Linked DNA regions of Drosophila melanogaster. The gene in region 2 interacts genetically with the main gene of each other region. Each region holds a gene or a part of one and is shown on either strand. Other genes may lie near its edges.

The links.
Region 1: of Fs (region 2) and daw, changing one suppresses a phenotype caused by changing the other (phenotypic suppression), as found in Drosophila melanogaster (one study listed by BioGRID).
Region 3: of Fs (region 2) and Actbeta, changing one suppresses a phenotype caused by changing the other (phenotypic suppression), as found in Drosophila melanogaster (one study listed by BioGRID).

The regions. Positions count from the first base shown.
Region 1 is NT_033779.5:2,803,581-2,811,289, reverse strand, and holds the start of daw (dawdle), read right to left. Parts: upstream 6,030-7,709; 5' UTR 5,689-6,029; intron 2,969-5,688; exon of another isoform or gene 2,754-2,968; intron 2,311-2,753; 5' UTR 1,980-2,310; coding exon 1,037-1,979; intron 923-1,036; coding exon 647-922; intron 142-646; coding exon 1-141.
Region 2 is NT_033778.4:15,238,568-15,243,345, reverse strand, and holds the start of Fs (follistatin), read left to right. Parts: upstream 1-1,756; 5' UTR 1,757-2,149; intron 2,150-3,546; 5' UTR 3,547-3,777; intron 3,778-4,778.
Region 3 is NC_004353.4:1,078,768-1,086,772, forward strand, and holds the start of Actbeta (Activin-beta), read right to left. Parts: upstream 6,030-8,005; 5' UTR 5,847-6,029; intron 4,507-5,846; 5' UTR 4,360-4,506; coding exon 3,360-4,359; intron 2,441-3,359; coding exon 1,490-2,440; intron 63-1,489; coding exon 1-62. UniProt on the Drosophila melanogaster protein: Controls several aspects of neuronal morphogenesis; essential for optic lobe development, EcR-B1 expression in larval brains, mushroom body remodeling, dorsal neuron morphogenesis and motoneuron axon guidance.

The sequences.
Region 1 (7,709 bases), on a different chromosome or scaffold from region 2:
GGTAATCCTTGTCCACCGAAATGATCTCCTCCATGTCGCTGACATCGCAGCCACCGCAGGTGATTTGGATGAGGTGGCTCAGCTCGTGGCCACTGATCCAGTGTTTGATGGGCCACTCAATGTCGATCTTCATCCACTCATCTGAAAGTATGCGAAAGGAAAGGCAGAGCGGTTAGTTGGGGGTTCCACAGAGCCATCTTCTCTTCTCCCAGAATCGTAGATCCCATCTTTCTTATCTGGTAACTGACCCCAGGAACTCACAACTGTGCTGGGTTGTGGCCAAAGTTCAGTTTTTGCACCCACGAATAATGCTTTGTCAAGTTATTCACCCACATGAATTTCAGATTCGAGCCGAGCTATCAAGCAGTGCTATCACGAATCTGCGCAATGATCTGTCTAATTGAAAACACAAACAAGCGGTTGTCAACGTTGGCACTTATCGGCGTTCTTTATAATTTTTATAATACCCATCTAGTATAGACATGTCACATATTTTGATTTGTCCCCCGAGGGTATTGAGGGTCAGTTTTGGCCGTTCCGCGGCTGCCGACCAAAGGTCCAAACGTGTGCGATTCTTTTCTGGGCATGATTACGCTCTGGGGGGATGAGTGTTTATGCTATACTAATGTATACTATGTGTACCCACCTTGCACATTCACCGACTGGATGGCTATGGTCTTGGCCGCCGACAAATACTTGGAGTCCTTCTGCTGATCCACCTCCACCTCGGAGACTACGATCGTCTGCTGGGCACTGGTGCTGTTCACCGATGCCGTGTCGGTGCGGTTCTGTTTGTTCTTGAAGAGCCACAGGACGGCGGTGCTCACGTCGAAGCCCTCGGCATCTGCGTCGTCTATCTTGAAGGTGAAGCACATGGACGGATTGGATTTTCCATCTCTCGCTCGGTTGCACTCGACCTCCTCTGTAAAAATAAAGGATAAAGGGTTGTGTTAGCAAAATCAGAATGGTAAAAGGATTCCCTTTGAAGTTAAGCTTCAATCTTTACTTTCTAGTGCTTAAATCTAGATTTGCTTACCTCTATTGAGCAGTATGAACTTCTTGCTAGTGCGAGCGTAGTAATCGTCCAGCTCCTTGTTCTTGGTGCTATCGTCCGGATGGGAGAGTGTCATCCCGTCGAAGATGGGCTTGGGCAGCTCCACGGCCGACACCTTGGGGCTCTCCTTGAGGCGCAGCTTCTCCAGGATCTGCTGCTTAACGAACTCGATGCGTAAGTGGGTCAGCTGCTCCTCGGTGATGTGCTCCACTTGGCGATTGCTCTCGCACTTGGGGCATCCTCCGGCGCTGGACTTCACCGAAATGGTGATGTTCCTCTCACCCAATGGGAGCTCTGGCTCTATGGGCGTTTCCGGCTGCTGATCTAGGTCCAGATCGAGATCGAGATCCTTCTCCTGATTCTGCTGGTCCTCGGCCATCAGTTCGTTGCGCACAAAGTCCAGCGGCGACAGATCATCAAAGTGATCATCGGAGGAGAGGGATGACTCCTCGGGGGCATCTCCGTACATGATAGGCAACTCCACGGGCGGGCTCACATGTCGGTGTGCCTTCTCCTCCTGCTCCATGAGGTGTTGCCACAGGCGGGGCACCTTTAGCTGCTCCGAATGGGAGCCGGGATGGTTGTAGCTGAGCTCCTGCTGCAGGAGGTGCTGCCTCTTGTGGATGACGTGGCGCCTCAGGCGGGCATAGTACTCCCGCTTGGTGATCGGTACATCGTCCTCCTCGCTGGTCGGATCCGGTTCCAGGTGTTTCAGCTGACGGGATCGTTGCTGCCGGATATGGTGTTGCTGCTGCAGCTGTTGCGAGGTGTGCTGCACATGGGGATGCGGCTGGTGCTTAGGATGCGGACGAAGGATGTCGCCACGGGAACTCGGATGGGAGCGGGCGTGCAGGCGATTGTATACGTTCCTGTTCTCCAGGGCCAGACACACCAGCAACACCAGGGCTATAAAGTACTTGGCCATTTCTGAATATGTACTTATGACTTCTCTTTTTTTTTAACTGTGAGATATTTTATATGTATCTTATGATCTTCTGGATCGCCTTTGGTTTCACTCTTGTTTTGTCGGCTGGGGCTGATTGCTATCTGTTTGGCAGCATTAAAACATCAATTTTTCCGGCTTTCAGGTTTACAAAACTCATAGAATTGCAGCTGGTTTCACTTATTGTTGCCGTTTTATAGCCTTGTTTAAGCACTTTTAAAACGTTTATGCGTTTTTTATGATTTTATATAACAACGACTTATACGCTTGAATGATGCATGTTCAATATTTTAAACTTTTCGTTAAGTTTCGTCTGCAAATAAGAAGAAATTTGTAACTTAGTTAATATTGTAAGCACATTCCGATTATTAATCAAATAAATTAAAACAGCTATGCCCTAAATTTTCTCATAAATATTTGCGAACGCGCTGCCCCAATTAAAATGCAATTTAATATGCCAGCGGATCAGGTGCATTTATCACTATCACTCACTAAGCCCGAAGTCTCGCTTAATTTTTGCACCAAATTGCATCATTTATTCCATATCGTTGAGCTCGAATTGGCAGGTGGCAAAGTGCAAATCGTTTTTTTGACATTAATTCCGGGAAGATTTAGTTTAGTTCAGTATTCAATTTCACATTATCACATGGGCTATTTGCCCCAAGTGCGACTCAAATCGAAAGCGTAGTTGCGCAGATCCGCTGATAAGCGGGCTCAATTAGATGGCAATTAGGTGGACGTGGACCCCACACGTACCGTGGTGAGCACACTCCGATTTGCTCCAATGGGATCTGAATCTGCTCAGCCGGATGAATCCGGCGGGGGTTGCGGCATTAACTTTGAACCCGGACACGAAACACGAGTGGCACGGGCCTTTAGCTATAGCTGGGATCGCGCGTCTATATAGTATTCCACTTGTGGTATGGTCTATGATATAGTATGGTGCTTCTTTCTCTTCCGACATGCGGCAGCGCAAACGAGTTGTGAATGAATGAAGCGGTTGGCTGATTAGTAGAACAATTTATGTGACGATCGCCGAGCGTTTGATTGATCGTTCCGCGAGCGCCAGCCGAACCGAACCGAACCGAACCGAAACAATCCGAACCACTCGAATCGCATCGTATCTGACGGATCGTTTCGTATCGGTTGCGGACTCGGATCCAAGCCGAGCGGTTCGGGTCTCGATTTATGACTATAGACCATGGTTATGGCTACATGGCGCTCTCTCTTTAGCCGAAGACAATTGGATATGCAAGTGGGGTGCAGCATTGCATCAGCTTCTTGAAAACGCCAAGCCACCGAATTGCATAAAATTCTTAATTGCAATTTTATTTTTAACCTCCCGCCACCCTGACAATGCCACGCCCCCAGTTGGCGGCGTCACTATCTGTTGGCATTTTTGGCACTCGCTTGGCCACAATGGGGCATTTTGATATCAAGTGAATTTATGATCGCTTCAAACCGAATCGAATCGAATCGAATCGAGTCGAGTGGCCCATTCATGCTAATTACCCCGCAGCGTTATCAAGCTTGACTTTGATGATCCGACTCGATTGTGTGTCAATCAATTAATAGTGAACACGTTGCTGATAAGGGGCGGTTTCCCACTTTTGGTCCACAAATCGGGAGCATGGAATATGTAGTGCGGCATTTAACCAATTAAGTACGCTTAGCATGCGATTCTGGGCAATCCTAATCGGATTCGGTTAATAGATGCGCATTTCAAATACATAGTGTGTCTGTTTTCCAATTTAAATGCGAATGGGAAATTCATGAGTATTTCGGTTGGGAATTTCATCAGCCAGAATTTCTGGTCTCGGCTAAATGTGAAGCAGTCGAGTAAGGTCAAGAAAAGTATTTTGAAGGCCGGCAGATCACGAGTTATATTATACCGCCTATTCGATTTAGCCTTAAATGCTGAACACGTGCCCGATTCGCTTGTCACGAACTGTGATTTTTCTGAACCCAATTAGATCATCGAGACGAATAGAAATGATCTATACTATACGGAGGAGAAGGTCCGTTTAATTGATAGAAATTTTGTAGGCCTCAGCGAATTCTGGCAACATTGTTGGTGCGGCTTAAGCAAAAGCAAATTAATAGGGGTTCTTGTTAGGAAATAATACAATAAACAACTATAAGTATTGCATACTCCCCAATTTCATATTAGATTATGACACCTTTGACTTGCACAATTAAGTTTAGTTTTACGTGTTCCCATAAGTTACATAAGGTATTACACTTTTCCAGTGGCCCTTTTCCAATTTAAATGACGTCCTGGCCTTCAGCATATGTCGCACCACTTATCAACTCATCGCATATTTTTCCACAACCTACGTAGATTGCCACGTTCCAAAATCTGCTCCATTTTGTTTTTTCCAACACAACCAACCTGACGTCGATTAAAGCGACTGGGGGCCACATAATGACGGATCAGATCGGATGGGATGGGATCTGATAGAATGGATGGGGATCGGATCAGGAAGCAGGGCTTGGATTGTAGCACACACGCGACATGTGACACGTTTTGTACGTACTCTTCGTTTTTGACGTAACTCGAGCTGTCCGCACTGCACTGGACTTAATGACTGACTTGACTGACCGACTTATCAAAGGCAGGAATCGAAGCCGAGGCGTGCGACTGCGATGTGATGGGGGCCCGCGGAAAAGGGGTGCCGCTGGGAAGGGGGACAGAAGTTGAAGAAGGTCATTTAACGCCCGGCAGTCATGGCTACGTCATCGAGCACGCCACCAGCGCGTGATCAGAAGCAAAAGCTGTAGTGAAGACTCCGCGGTTGCCATGTCGATGCAAATCGGAGCAAAAAACTGCTGTGCCTGTGAATGGGGAGTTGGGGGTCTGGCGATGCGTCGATTGGAGGTGCAAAGTACAGCCGCTTGATGGAGATGGCTTCTTGACTAAGCGACTCTGCTTGGGGGTTTTCCATGGGCCTGCCCGTATCATTTTCGCATTAATTACGGGGCAGCTGGGACTGGATGTGGGGCTGGGACTCGGACTTGGAGTGGGGCTATCGTAATTGCCGGCAATTATCACTTGCATTTCTTCTTCGCGCGCAGCAGTTGAATGCACTGCGACAAAAACACGGCTGCTTCCATCGGTTTTTGGCAATAAATCACGGCGATCACGCCGTTCTCGCCGATCAGCGGTTGGGAGCATGCCACGATCTGGACTTTGGAACCGCTCACGGAGATTGCCCCGATTGCCAGAAGCCAGAGGCCCGAAGCGTCGCAAATTAATCTGCCATAATACTTTTCTCGCCACACGCTCATCGGCGATGCTACCATAAATCAAGTGCAGGATTAAATAAGATCATCATTGGTAGCAACTAAATTTGGCCAATGACTCTCGACGTGGCCGAAATTCGCCAAGAGCTTTTGGAGGTTATGCGCCTGGGTTATAGGCTCGAAAACTATCAATCAATCAATCGGTGATAGATAGGCCTCTGATCGATAAACCATTCACTGCATGATTAGTTTTTAATTACGGCATGATATTCCAAAAGCGAAACTAGAAACTTCCCTGCGATTTGGTAATAACTGATATTGAGCATTAGACTGCTAAAAAAAATATACAATTTCTAGTATCCCATGTTGAGGCTGATTCCATAATTCACATTTTTGGCACTTTTATTTAAACTTCTTACACAATAAGCCCTTGTGTTATGTAACTCACCCAAATTAATAATCCATTGTCAAAATGCTTGAATAACTTAGCACATTGTTTGCAATCTTCTGCGAAAAGGGATGCTTATCAAATGTCCTTGAGTGATTCTACAATCGATTGTCCGTTTATTTGTTTTCGCAAATCACTTTCGCAAACTCATTATTGTTTTGAATTTCACCACTTGAACTTGATTTCCTCAAAATGACGAGCTGATATTTCGCTGAGCAAAAACAAATGTTTTGAAGAAACATAAAGTATTATTCGTTCACACCAAGTTTCATGTACGATTTGCACGATTTGAATAATTTTCGATCCGATCGTTGGGAACGTCTGCGTGTGAATAATTCGACGATGGGCGGCGCAGCGGCCACAAAAGCCTGGAGCGGTACGACTAACGGTATCTGTGGGGAGCGGTATGGGTGTGAGTATGGGCCTGGGTATGGGTATGGGTATGGGTATGGCCCACTCTTCGGGCGGCAGACAGTTGAGTTTCAGTTTGTTTGATAACAGACACGCCGCCGATCATTGGCGCACTCCGCTGCTCTGCGTTTTAAGCGATGCGCAATTCTACTTTGCTTCCAGCAAGTGCGACAGAGAGAGAGAGAGGGAGAGCAGGGAGAGCCACTGATAATGGGTGGCTTTCCCCCCTGGCCCACACAGCAGCGTTTTAGGTCCGGTTGGCTCCCATCCGATCGCCTCCTGCATCGAACACCCACGCCGCTCGAGGCTGGAGCATCGAACAAGTTCGCTGGCCGGCGCTACATGTTCGATGGCCGTTCGTGAGTTCGAGCTTGTTGGGAATGAGGATCGAGCCCCAGCATTCGTCACCCAAAAACGTGAGCTGACGTCGTGCCGGTGGGGTTTTATCGCTCGATCCAACCGGTCCAAAGTTCAGCGGCAGTCCAGTCCAGCGGATTGCCTTTGACTTTCCCTGATAGCCGACATTGCCTAATGGCGATTGGTTCTCACAGCCAAAGCGATACCATCGCTTTCTTTTGATGGCCCAATGTCTATTAATAAGCGGTACTAGCGAGAGGTATGACTAAAATTGACGTATAACCATGAATGCTAGAAGAAAGTACATATGTATCATCGAAGAATATGCAAACAATGTCGTGTAAAAGACTGAACAATTAGATGTAATATAACGAATGAACTAAGTATACTCAATTTCAGACTCCACCCTACGTATGCCTTCCTGTTTTTGTTTAGCTCTTGGCCAGCTAATCGCTTTCCTCTTGACCAATTTACGATGTGGCTTTTACGACGTTTGGGGTTTCTTGTTTTTAACTTGCTGGCTGCTTCAATTGATTACCATGTGTGATATCATAATTTTGAAGTTTTCACGCCCGTCGAGCATGGGTCTCTTGAGATTACCTCGGAGGACAATAGTATGTAAATGGCTAATATTAATTAAATGCTGGCTCTGATTGCGTATCGCTGTGTTTCACTTTCAAACCTCATGCCAATCGACTGATTAAGTCCGTTCCGAGTTTTGTTTACCTTGAGATTTCACAATAAAGCATTCACCTCAAATATAATGCGATGGAATCGCACAATATACCTTTCGTGATTTGTATACTCAGGATCGAGGCAAAATCTCACTCGAAACGTCTAATTTTTAAATGTGGCGCGCGTGCTGAAAAACACGTCACAATGCACGGCTTATCGTGGCCGGGCCTCTGGAATTTCAGTTTTTAATTAAAACAGTGTTTTGGTGTCATAATTAAGTCAACAATATATGATGCTTATACCCTTGATAGGGGTACTATGACTTTAGTTACACGTTTGAACTGCAAGCTTAAAGTTACCTTAAACATCTAAAGATTCATTCTAATATTTTCTGAACTATTCATCGCTTCATTTGATTATAAATGGCCTTATTCGTCTAGACTTTGGCCTTGCATTTGATCAGGAAAATTCTATGACTGTCTAGTGAGCATTTGATTCAAATTACAGATCAGGAAAGTAAAGTCTAAGAATGTGAACTCAAAAAATAGAGTTATTGAAACGATTTGAATCTATTTCTA
Region 2 (4,778 bases):
AAGGGAAGTGAGGGAGTGGAAAGGAAAGGCAAGTGGCGAAGGTGGAGGTGGATAATGGTGGCCACTATCAGCGAGCGGGCTTAATACGCGCCCAGCACGCCATTGGCCAATAAAACGCTCCGCGCCGTAATTGACGCAAAAATCGGACTGGTGCAACTGCTCCTCCGCCTGGTCTGGCTGCCCAAATAGCCAGTGCCTCGGCGGCTCCCTCGTCAAATGTCTTCATTTTCAGTGCCACATTTCCACGGGGCTGCTGTGCTGGGCCCAGCGACATGCAGTTTTGTGGCAGTTTCTGGCTGGCAGCAAGTATCTGACAATTAGATCTAAATTATGACGCTGTTTGCACCATAAAGAAATCGTTTTCCTCAGCTGCCGCTTTGCTCTGGCTAAACAATAGACAGTTAAGGCCGCAGATAAAGATATGTTTTCTATATAGCCAAGGCATGATTTCGCTGCATTTAATGAGCACTAAGCCTTTGCTCCTGCAGTTGCAGTTGCTTGGACGTTGGTTCGTTAAAATTTCAAAACATCTCAGTAACCACAAAATGTTTGTTTACAATCTAAATAAATTAAATTTTAAAGAAAAAATGAACTCCTTAAAAATCAAGACATTCGTCTTATTAGTTTAAGTAGAAGCAGTAACAAAATAATTTAATAATTTCCAAAGAAAACAAGATTACATGATAAGGATGTTACGTTGCTAGTTATTAAGTTTATTTTTTAGGAAATCTTCAATTCCAACTTGCAACATGTTGCGGTCGTAAGCACAAAAGCGCAGCATGTCGCAGCGATTAAAACACATTATGCTGCACTGAAGAACTTTAACTAAAATCTTCTACAAACTATATTTATAAAACAAATAATTTGTGCACGTTGTTAAGTATTACAAAATGTTATTGCAAACAATTGCTCTGGAACTATGGCTAATATATTCCTTTCATAGATAAGTATTTGAATTCATATATTTTAGTTTTTAAATTAATTATTATAAACAAAATAAATTTATAGTATTCAAAAAAGAACAAAATTAAATTTTTAAAATACTTATTTTACTTAATTTTTTAAATATTACTTTTTCTAAGAACATATATCACCTAAATGTCCTGTATTTATGTAAAACTATATTTATGGGATTTATATTTAAAAAGGTAGGGTTACATTTTTTAAGTCCAACATACCTATTTTTAAATTTAAAAACACCATCACTATGGTTTGCCGATTTTCCTATTATTTTCCTATTAATTTACATGTCTCTCTCTTTCTCTCACGCACACAATCGCACAGCAGCCGGCAGCGCTTTGCACAGTGGTACTAAATATTACAAATTGGAAAACGAATTTGAGATGTATTTACTTACAGTGTTACAGTATAGTTACAACTATATATTTTCCAATTCCTTCAGATATTTCATTTGTTACGATTTTACATAATTCGTAAATTAACACTTTTGTTTTTACATACAACTTTAACAGGTTTAAATATTTTATTGCCTTTAATAATACAAAATCAAACATAAAACGATACAAATGTCATAAAATATGATAAACATTCTTTAAACTGTATAGGTAAATATTTCTTTTTAAATGTATAAATTTGTAACTAAAGGAATTTCTAAAAATAAGCAAACTAATCCATAATCCATAATCCAATCCACATAGCGTTTCTTTTGCCCCACCGTGCGGCGCTTTGCATGAGTATTGGTGTAAGACTGTTGGCTGTTTTCTTACCTAAATGAGAACTTTGGTTTTCAAAATTCAGTCGGCATTCGACCATCAGATGGAGCGCACGTCTCTGGTCCTCAGTAAAAAAAGTAGCAAGTGAAAACTAGTGTTGTGTCCAGTTTCGTAGTTCCAGAACAGAGAACAGGAACGAAAATCGTGGAAATGTAAATAAGTGCAGACTGAAAGTCTTGAAATTCGAAAGCTCAGCGATAAGTGTGGACAACAGTGCGATCACCGGTCGGCAACTTTTCATTTTTTCGTTTTGTGCTGAAAATGTTTTTATTTTTTTCGGTTTTCAAGCTTGATTTCTTGTAATACCTAAAAGTGTCATATATACTCTCCGCATGTTAGCTGCTAATTTATTGGCAAACAAACACGTCTAAGTGCGAAATAGATTTTCAAAACAAAAACGAGGCATAGTTAAAAAGGTGAGTTCATAACTAGGACTCAGCAAAGTTTGGAGCAGCCTTGTGAAAGGAAATCATCGCTCCAGACGGGCAGCTATCATCTGGATATTTTGTTTCATTTCCATTTACCCCAGACGCAGCAGACAAATTTTTCCACGTACCATTCGCCCATCTCAGACAATAACAAAATTCTTGCATAGTTGTCAACAAAAGGCGATCGAAAGACTCAATAACAGCTCGGATTTCATGTGAGCCGATATTTGTTTTTATTTGCGGTTTGCTGAGTCTCGCAGCTCGCAGCTTGCAGCTTCATTCTTATCCTTAGCATCAGAAACAGAATCAGAATCAGAATAAGAATCAGATTCCGATACTGATTCTGATTCCGAATCGGAAGATGAGTGGCGCAAAGTCAACAACTCGTAGCATAAGCAAATTACTTGAAGTGCGCGCGCGCTTTTTTTACCGGCCATCCTGCAGATTTCCTGTTTACTTTTTGACATTTCTGGCGAATGCTAATGGGCCGTCGAGCGATTCTTCTAAGCGAATCAACTACAAACAGATTCGAGTGTCAAGAGGCGTTTCTTTGCTCTCTCTTTCTTCTTTTTTCATGCGGCCCACACTGCGTATGTGCAACGCGTGGCATTCGAACGCTGGCAAAACAAACATTTAGCAGTCACAGCCTACGGATCTCGGTGGTCAGTGAGTGTCTATACGTCTGTGTTTATCGGACGAGCCTCCGCCCAGGGCAACAAAAACAATGGCACACCGAAAAAAATAACACACTCGATATGACGAGCAGACGCATACGTATGAACATACTTAAATATGTATGCATAGTCATCAGACGGCTGTGTGAATATTAGTTGCTATACATTTGTTAAATCTTTTCAATGGATACGAGAATCGAATTTCAAATATTTACTTAGTGAGACCTTTTTTTTAAAGCATTAGCTTCGTTTGTGCCCTTTTCAGTATGTTTTTTCTTCCTGTGCAGGCAGTCCAGCTGTCTGCTCTTGCGATGCTGCTGCTGATGATACAGCCACTGTCGGTTTGATTTGATTTGTTTGTTGGCTTATGTATATTTATTGAAAATTTACTGCTTGCATAACAAACAACGAGGCTGCTGCTGCTGCTTCTGCTGCTGTCATATGCAAATTCCCAAGTGGGCGGAGGTGCTGGTGGGGGCGGGGCCGCTGTCCAAGTGTCATTAATCTCGCGCCAAAACGGAGACGCACAGTTTACTTTGGCTGATGAGTTTGCCGAAAGGAATTTCCTGTTGTTGCCAAATGACAAACTGTTTCCTTAGAAGACCCTCCTCCTCCATGACCCGTCCTGTTCCGCTCTTCCATCATCATCGATTTCGATTTGGCCCGTTTGTTACTTATGAAACCGAATACGTTGACCCTTTTTTTTCAAAGCGTTTTGAGCCACACACCGCAGCACAGACAGTTATGCAGTTGGGCGACCCACAGGGTTCCGCAGAACGGACCGCGCTAAAAATAGCATTTGGAGCCGGGTCTGGCATTCGCGATTGCTATTGCGCAATCGGCCTGAATGGAGCCTAAAGTCAATCGGTGACTGGATTGCGAGTCCCCGCGAACGTGGCGCGAGAACTAAGCCACACGAAAAGAAAACGGCTATGAAACCAGGTAGTTACTTCCGCATGAAGAGATTGAATACATTTTGAGCCTAACTCATCGAAACTAAATGGTGTCAAAACTAAAACATCCCAAAGTATTAAGTATTTCTGTAAGCACTCGTAGCTTCTGCAAAAGTGAAAGTTCCTTAAGAAAGTTTCAATGCCTAAAATATTAAATTACCAAGCTTACAAAACTTAAACTTCGAAATTATATTTAAAACACCCGACTAGTAAGATTATCCCTTGAGACACATTGATTTCTTCCTGTGCACTCCCGATATCAATCTACAAAATTCTCAGGATGGGATCGCTTGTTTCCGCGTTCTGTTTGTTTGGCAACTGTATCTGTTTTTTCTAAATCACACTGGGCCGCCGTCTGGAGGATCGGTTTTCTGGGCCGGACAATGGCATGGCAGGCAGCACGTGCTTTTGGCATTGCCCGCCCTATAATATGATACGCAATGGGACTTTCTGGAAACCGGGTTGCCTTGGGAGCGTCTTAATCTAATACGCAAAAGTAACTGAAGGCGTTGCAAGTGGGATATGGCAGAATACCTGAGAGAACCGCAGTGAAATTTAGCACCACATTTGATGCAAGTTTTTTGGCCAGCTCGAGGGGCTTGAGGTTGAAATTATGCACTTGTTGCTGAAGTGCAGCAGCAACAGCGCAGGATCAGCGCAGCAGAAGATGCAATTCAATACAAACGAAAATGCATAAAACAACAAAATAAAACAAAAAAAAAAAAACAAAAACACATTTTGCGAAAATCCAGAATAAATGCCCAAAAACATAAAAACAGGTCTCCAACGGTCAAACTGCATCTCCCGAAGAAGAAGGCATTCGCCATAGCTATATGGTATGGATATGGTATATATACATACATAAAGCTCCAGACTGTCTGTTTGGCAGTGCGAGTGTATTGGTGTACCTCCTCTGGTGTGTGAGTGTGTGTGTGTGTGGACCCTGAGTTTGGCAATGCAGTTGCCGAGGAGAATGCATTTAGTGCCTTG
Region 3 (8,005 bases), on a different chromosome or scaffold from region 2:
GCTGGGAACACGGCGGTTTTGGGCCGAAAACTCGAGTATTCGATATTGTCGATATTGGGTTCCTTAAAATAAAATATATTATGCCAATGAATAAGAAGACTACACACAGTCATATGAGCGAATTACAAAAAAATATATTGCATTGTTTTTTTTCTTCAAAAACAGATATATTGTAAAGTTTACAATTTTTGTACAGTTAACTAAAAATCAAAGCTTTGTATATAAAATGTACTCTTAAGCGTTTTGTAGGCGTTAGAGATGGCGGATATTGGTAGACATTAAAAAAACCTCAACTACTTCAACTTTAATATAACGTATTTAAATATATTCGTTTTTGTCCATATCGATCGTATCGATGTCAGGGCCTGTAAAATCTAGAAAGTTCAGATAAAAAATTAAAAATTTCAGAGAAGAAGCACTCTCACAAGCTACCACGCTTACACTTTTAAGAAAGCGTTTTTATTTTTAGTCATTATATAATTTGTTTTGCCAATTTCTATCGGTATGCCATACATACCGCCACAAGCCGGTTTCTACTGATTTGCCTAATGTTTTTTGGGCACGATCACTCTTTCTTATTTTTATTACTGTATATTACTATTACTATATATTAATATATATTATAATATAATAATATATAATAGTAACTATAGTATATAGTATAGTATAGTATAGTAAAGTATGTTAAAGGCAGGAAGAATCGTTTCCGACTATATATAGTATATATATTCTTGATCAGGATCAATAGCCGAATCAATCTAGCCATGTCTGTATGGAACGTCTAGATCTCATGAACTATAAAAGCTAGAAGGTTAGAAGCATACTAGCTAGAAGCATACCGATTGTAGACACCTAAACGCATCGCACGTGTGTTGAGCCAACTCCCACAAACCTCCGAAAACTTTTGAAAAAGTTTTGATATTTTCTCATATTTTTAGTCTGTAGTCTTGTACATTTTTTTTTATCGATTTGTCAACAAACTTTTTGCCACGCCCACTCTAACGACCCAAAAAATGCCGCCGACAATTTTTTTTTTTTGACAAATTTGTGGATATTTTTTCATAATTTTATTAGTCTTTTAAAATTTTATGGATTTGCCAAAAAACTGCCACGCCCACACTTTAGAAAATTTTTTTTAGATTTTTCTTTGTTTTATTGTTTGTCTTGCTAATTTCCACCGGTATACCAAAACACTGTGATCACGCACATCCTTTCACCAACAAAACGCCCAAGAGGCTCACTCCCTCACTATTAAAGAATTATACAATTTTTTTCTCATTTTATTTCCCCGTAATATCCAACGATATCCCAGCAAAATTATGAAATTTCGCGTTTGCGTACCCACTAGTTATAACGGGTATAAAATAAAATTTATATTTACTTATTTATAGTAACAGGTATCTGATAGTCGGCGAACTCGACGTCTCTTATTTTTTAATTTGCCCTCGACGATAGCGTTTAATCCTGTGTTGAATAAAAATCTACTCACCCTCTTCAGCAAATGTAATTATTTCCTGCGTATTTCCAAAGAAGTCTTCATGATCAATATTTTCATGATCATCAGCAAAAGATTCGTGATGTCCTTTCTGATTTTCATATTCTATGTTGTGGATCGCTGGCTGATATCCAATGCTAGAGCGACCTTCATGGTACCGGTTTTTATCATGAGTCTGAACACTGTAATCGTTAAAATATTCATAATCATTGTGGCTCATCTCACCATTTTTGCCAGTATGGGTTTTATTATCAATACTATGATTTATATCTATAGGATATGTAGATTTTTTTAAGGCATTCTCATTCATTTGTGTGCCGTTGATGCCATTAACTTTTCTGACCGCTCCGCTTTTAAGCTCCTTAGGACTACTGTTATGGTGGCTCTTTAGTTCTATAGGCATAGATGCAATTTGAGAGTTTATTTTTAATTGACGGTTTTCTGTCCATCCGTTTAAGAATGAGTTTTTTTTATCGATTCGTTCTAAAGAACGATTTCTCAATACTTTCCCATATACATTATTTTTACTTATATTGAAAGTGAAATCGAACGGGGATCGATATTTATGATGACTGGGATCCCGTTCGCTTCTCTGATCGGTCCTTCCACCTCGGCCATTAAACAAATGTGATCCGGGCGAGGCAAACGCCCTCAGCTTGATAGTCTTCTGATCTAAATTCTTACCACTGCTCCCAAATGCATTGTTTGGTATCATTCGTCCACCATCGACTCGATATATTGTTTCCCAAATAAATTGCTTTGGTAAAGGATGAGATACATTAGGCTTGTGGCTAAGACCAAGCTTTGTCAAAATTTGCCGTTTTATTGACTCCAAACGAACTTCATCGCTGGGTGCAATGTTGTTATGGGGTTGATTAGTTTTTTTGTTGAAATTATTGTTGGAATGGTATTTGTTGTAGATGTTGTAGTCTGTGTGTGGATTATCTGTGTGAATGTGATAATTGTAAAGTGTTATGTAAAATTCATTATATAAATTTTTGTTGTTGTATGGAGTGTTTTTATGTTTTTAGTAAAGTTTCATTACCCGATATCACACAAGTTTTATCGTTTTTTAAAAATATTTTTTTGTCTTGCTAGCATTATTATTTTAAGATTTGGATTTATTTTTATGGTTCACAAAAATCTCGAAAAGAAATAAAATCAATAATCAAATCTATTTATAGTTTCTGAAATCCAGCGCCTATGACCTCTACTGTTTTTTTTTGCAATACCGAGTTTGACTAGTATTGTACATATTTACGTCACTGGAGCGACATTTCCTTCGTTTTTACGTTAAGAACAATATATAATTTTTTTATTTTATGACAATAAAATTAGACGAGACAGGAATACCTTTCAAGACTCGTAATGTTTTAATTCAAAAATATGTACGAAATTAATCGTGTAGCAAGCAAATTTTTCCAATCCTTAAGATAAACAAATTGCAATATTAAGATAAAAACTCACCCAGACTATGAAAATTTGTTCTAGATATTTTGTATTTTTTGTTATTTACCCTTTTAAGGGGGTATGAATATCCCAGGCTTACTGCGGGTGGTCCTTGTATTAAATATTATTTACATTACTAGTGGTACAACATTTGTCAATAGATATTTAATTTAATCATTGAAAATGATTTTATTTTACTTAAAAATAGCACAAAAATCTTACAAATTAAATTTATTTTACAAAAAATTCTGCATTGCAATAGTTTTGGTACAGTACGATAACCGCTTATTTCACAACAACTCACATCTGTTTTATCTTAATAACGCCAAACTCAATGTAGTTTTTTTTAGTCTCAATAAGAATATTAAAAGATTACCCTATATTCAGTATGTAAAAAATTTTTTTGAAAACTGACCTTTATCGGTGTATATGTTGGGCTTTCCGCTTTCATGGCACAAGGTGCAGCCCTTGTGACTCTCCAAATTCGAAGCATAATAATTACTACTGCTGATCCCATTGCAATTTATAAGTTTGACTTCAAACCAGACGAGTCCAATTAGAAGCCAAATAAGATTGGCTCTATTGCGTTTAATCTTTGAACAGTTACGCATTGAACCATGAATCGCTGGCCAAGGTGCTTCAATTTCCCTCAAAGGGGACACCAGTAGGCTTCTCTCTGACTGACTAAATAGTTTACCTCCTTGTACTAAGTCATAATTAGTTCCGTAATTTGTCTCCAAAGACTGGCATTTGGCATCGCTAAAATTAAGTCTTTGCTCAAAGCCGCTCATATTATCTTGCATTAGATGATGAAGTCGCTTAGTATATCTGTGCCTGCGTCGTCTGTGATTGCGTCGGCGTCGCCTCCTTCGCTGTCGTTTACGATTGCGACTTTTACAAAGCACTCTACATAAATTGTTGGACTTTACCTGTTGGTCGTTATTTATGTCATACGATGTATACCCATAAAGCAACTTTAGCTTCGTCTCCGAAGTGCTACTGGGAGTTTCATTAGGTGTGGTAGGAACCGAGACGTGCACTGTCCTACTGCTGGCTTGGCTTCTATCTGCAACTCCAGACTGGCCAGGCACGGAAAATATGTCTAGGAGTATGCAGCTTGTCAGGAGTGTCGCTACCGCAGTAACCCACCGAGCCAGCACTAAAATAACCGCCACAAACCTTGATACTCTAAGGACTTCGAGGTCAGCAACTTTTTTACGCATTGCAGCGGGTTGTGGAAATGACTTCCGGGAGCCAAGGCTGTTGCAGCAGTTTAAGTTAAAGCAGCAACAGCACTTTACAACCACAACGCAGCATCCTTGGCGACAGCAGATGCATTGACAATTAAAGAAACACCTGCTGCCTTTGAATGGCGCCCCCGATTGCGAATGATTAGAATCGAAGGCAAATCGCATCTTTGATATATGGCAAGCGTGTAGTACAGGCACTGTCCCTTAGAAACGTGGTACAAGTATTGTCAATTTTATTTTTCTGGTAAATATTTTTTTAATCATTGCAAATCTTTTTCCTTTCCTTTCCTTTCTGTCGTTCATTTCGTCTGCCTGTTCAAAATACAAATTTTCGATTAGATAAGTGGTAAGCTAACTGGAAATTAATATGGACACTAAACAAGAGAGGAGGCTACAAATTGGCAAATAAATTAAAAACACCGGAGAAAGCTATAGTCGACTTCCCCGATGCGAAGTTTCATAATTTTTCAGGGATATTTATAAATATTGTGCAAAAAGATACGAAAAAGTTTTAAATTTGTTTGAAAATGTGGGCGTGACCGTTTCGCTCGTTTTGTGGCCAAAGTGTTTTTTATATACAAAAATTGGTTCCAACAAGGCGGTGCAACAGCACATACTTCAAGAGCATCGATGGCTGTTTTGAGGGAACACTTTCCAGAGCGCCTTATCTCAATTAGAGGCGATTTGGAATGGCCGGCACGATCTGTCCCCTTGTGATTTTTTTCTATTGGGTTTTTTGAAGTCCCGTGTTTATGTGAACCGTCCAAGAGCCCTACAAGATTTGAAAACCAACATCCAAGAAGAAATTGCCATCATAACACCTGCCATGCTAACAAGACTCACGACAAACGCCAGAAATCGGTTTACGCAATGTATGGAGAATGGGGGACGTCACCTATCAGATTTCATCTTCAAAAAATATGACATGTACGTACAATATAAAAAAAAATAAATTTTTTCCGATGCCTACAATAGTTTTCATTGAGTTCTGAAAAAGGAAATTATGCTGCCGCACCCTGTATATACTTTGTATGCTCGGCAATGCTCCCTTCTACATGGTACTTACTTTTTAACGTATATAGTATACCCTTTGATTCTACGAGTAAGGGAATATATATACGGGTATACAAATCTTAAATGATATATTCTCCGAATACTTGTTTACTTGATAATTAACCAGTAATTGAACCAGTTTGCGTTGAAACGGACGGACGGTTACGGCTCTTACTGCTAGCCATACAGATGAACATATATTCTTCGTGTGGTCGTAATTGTCTCCTTTACTGCGTTGCAAGAAACTGACTTAAATCAATATACACTTTGAAAGGGTACAACACATTAAAATTAGTCTAAACCTGACGCCGAGCTTCGGATGGCACAGTTATTATTACGCCAGAAATACTTCATACCATGCACCAACAGAAGCGGACAGACAGACTCATCCGTCCCTTCTGAAGAACTCAAGGCGACACACAGACTGTGTCCAGATGAAAAGACCTACGCCTGAATGGTGGTTACTTAGAAGCCTAGCAGCGGAAAGGGATGAAGAGGAATTAAAAGCATGCGTTCAACAAAAAAATTTGTACATATGTAAGAAGGAAGGTGGTTATGTGTATAGGCTTATGATCAGTGTATGTAACAATATGTATCACCTTTTTCTTTTTAGAAACAATAAATTTTCAACTAAGTAAATATATTTCTTCACGAGAAATATTAGGGACACTATCACATTTTCACGATTTATAAATGTATTATGCTTTTCCTTTTAGCACGGAAACAATATTTTGTATCTCCGTTGGTTGCTAAATGACATTGCATACTTTGTGAAACTAAGATGACACTTTAAGCTTTTCAAAAGCTTTCTTGAAAATAACAATATTTCAGCGTTGCCATATTTGCACCAGAAATATCTGTTGCCATTCAAATTAGAAAGAATATCGATGCTATCGATATATGCTTCCTTTCACGATTAAAAAGTCGGCAGATTCAAATGGATGAATTTCAATAACCTAAATCATTTTTAAATCGTAATCGTAACTAATAAATAAAAATGTTGTTAAGCGTAGATGGAATCGTTTACCCAAAATTCCAAATTAGCAGTCGATCTTGTGTCGATCTATGTGCGCCTAAACATTAACAGATTTATCTGTAAAACTTTACGTCCAATTCAGTTAGATTCAAATCAAGATATAAATATTAATATTATATTCATTTGCTAGTACGAATGCGAACGCAAAATTTCATCATTTTTCTGGGATATCGATATTAGGGGGAAATAAAATGGGAAAAAATTGTTATACCTGTTATTCGTGGTTTGCGGGCTTTATATTGGGCGTTTTTTGGCAAATCGATAGAAATTTACAAGACTAATAAAATTATGAAAAATATCCAATACATTTTCATAAACGTGGGAGTAGCAGTTTTGGTCGATTTTAGCGCTTTGAGTGGTCGTGGCAAAAATGTTTTTTGCAGATCGATAGAAATTTACAAGATTATTAGTCTTGTATGAAAAAGTATGTATGAGAAAATATAAAAACATTTTTCAAAAGTGTGGACGTGGCAGTTTTGTGCAGTTTGTGGGCGTTAGATGAAATTATGAAAAACTATCCACAAATTGTTCAAAAATGTGGGCGTGCCAGTTTTGTGCGCTTTGTGGGCGTTAGAGTGGTCGTGTCAACATCTGTCAACAAACTTGCGCTGCGTCTATGTCGCTTGAATCTGTATGCTGATCTCAAGCTTTTACGTTTACGTACAGTACATGAGATTTCGAGTTCATTCGGAAAGACGGACGGTCGAACAGACGGTCGGACAGACGGTCGGACGGACACACGGATACACGGACATACGGACAAGGCCAGATCGATTCGGCTATTGATCCTGATCACACTTTATATGGTTGGAAACGCTTCCTTCTGGTTGTTACATACTTTCCAAATGTGAAATTCGAGTAAGTATTCTATTATTTTGCTGATTTTAGTTATGCAAATCGATATAAGGAAAAGCCCAGCAGATAATATTTCTTTATCCTTTACTTGTTAACAAAAAAAGGGTAAACCGTACTCTCTGAAGAATATTTAACAGAAAGAACAAAGAGGATGTATACGTAACTTCACCGGAATACCTACAATTATTGGCTACATTTACTTTTTACTTCCTTCGAAACGATTGCATCAAACTAGAAATAGAATACGAATATTTTGTTGTTGGTTGTTTTCATCATATACATACATGTACATAGACATAACAAATAAATAATTTACGTTTTGATACAAGCAAAAGCCTCGTAGGAGTTACTAGAATCTGGACGGATAACTTCAATTTTTTGATATCTATAGTTTTATAGGTTTTGACTTTTATAAAGATGGACCGACGGACAAGGGGACTGACTGGCATGTATCGGTCGTCTACGTTAGTGGCACGGGTTAAAAAACTTTATCCAAGACATTGTTTTAATTGGAAGAGTATATAAACCTTAGTTTGCCGATATCATGTTATTCTGGTTTTATGTGCTATCGACTTGTTAAAGCCCCTTCTGTCTGTATGTATTAACTTTCGGCTCCCGAAAATCTCCGGAAATAACTATATGTATTATTCCGGGAAAGAGTATACCAACAAAGTAAGTAGTATAAATAAATAGTACATAACATAATATATACAGCAGTAGCATTTCCAGTACCTAGCAGCCAAAAACAACCAAAAGAAACGGCGGAAAAGCTGTCTCGGTTGGCTTGCAGACCGTGAAAAGCCACGAGCCACGATTGAAATACCGAATTTCATACCAAAACATATGAATACCGATTGTTTATATCAA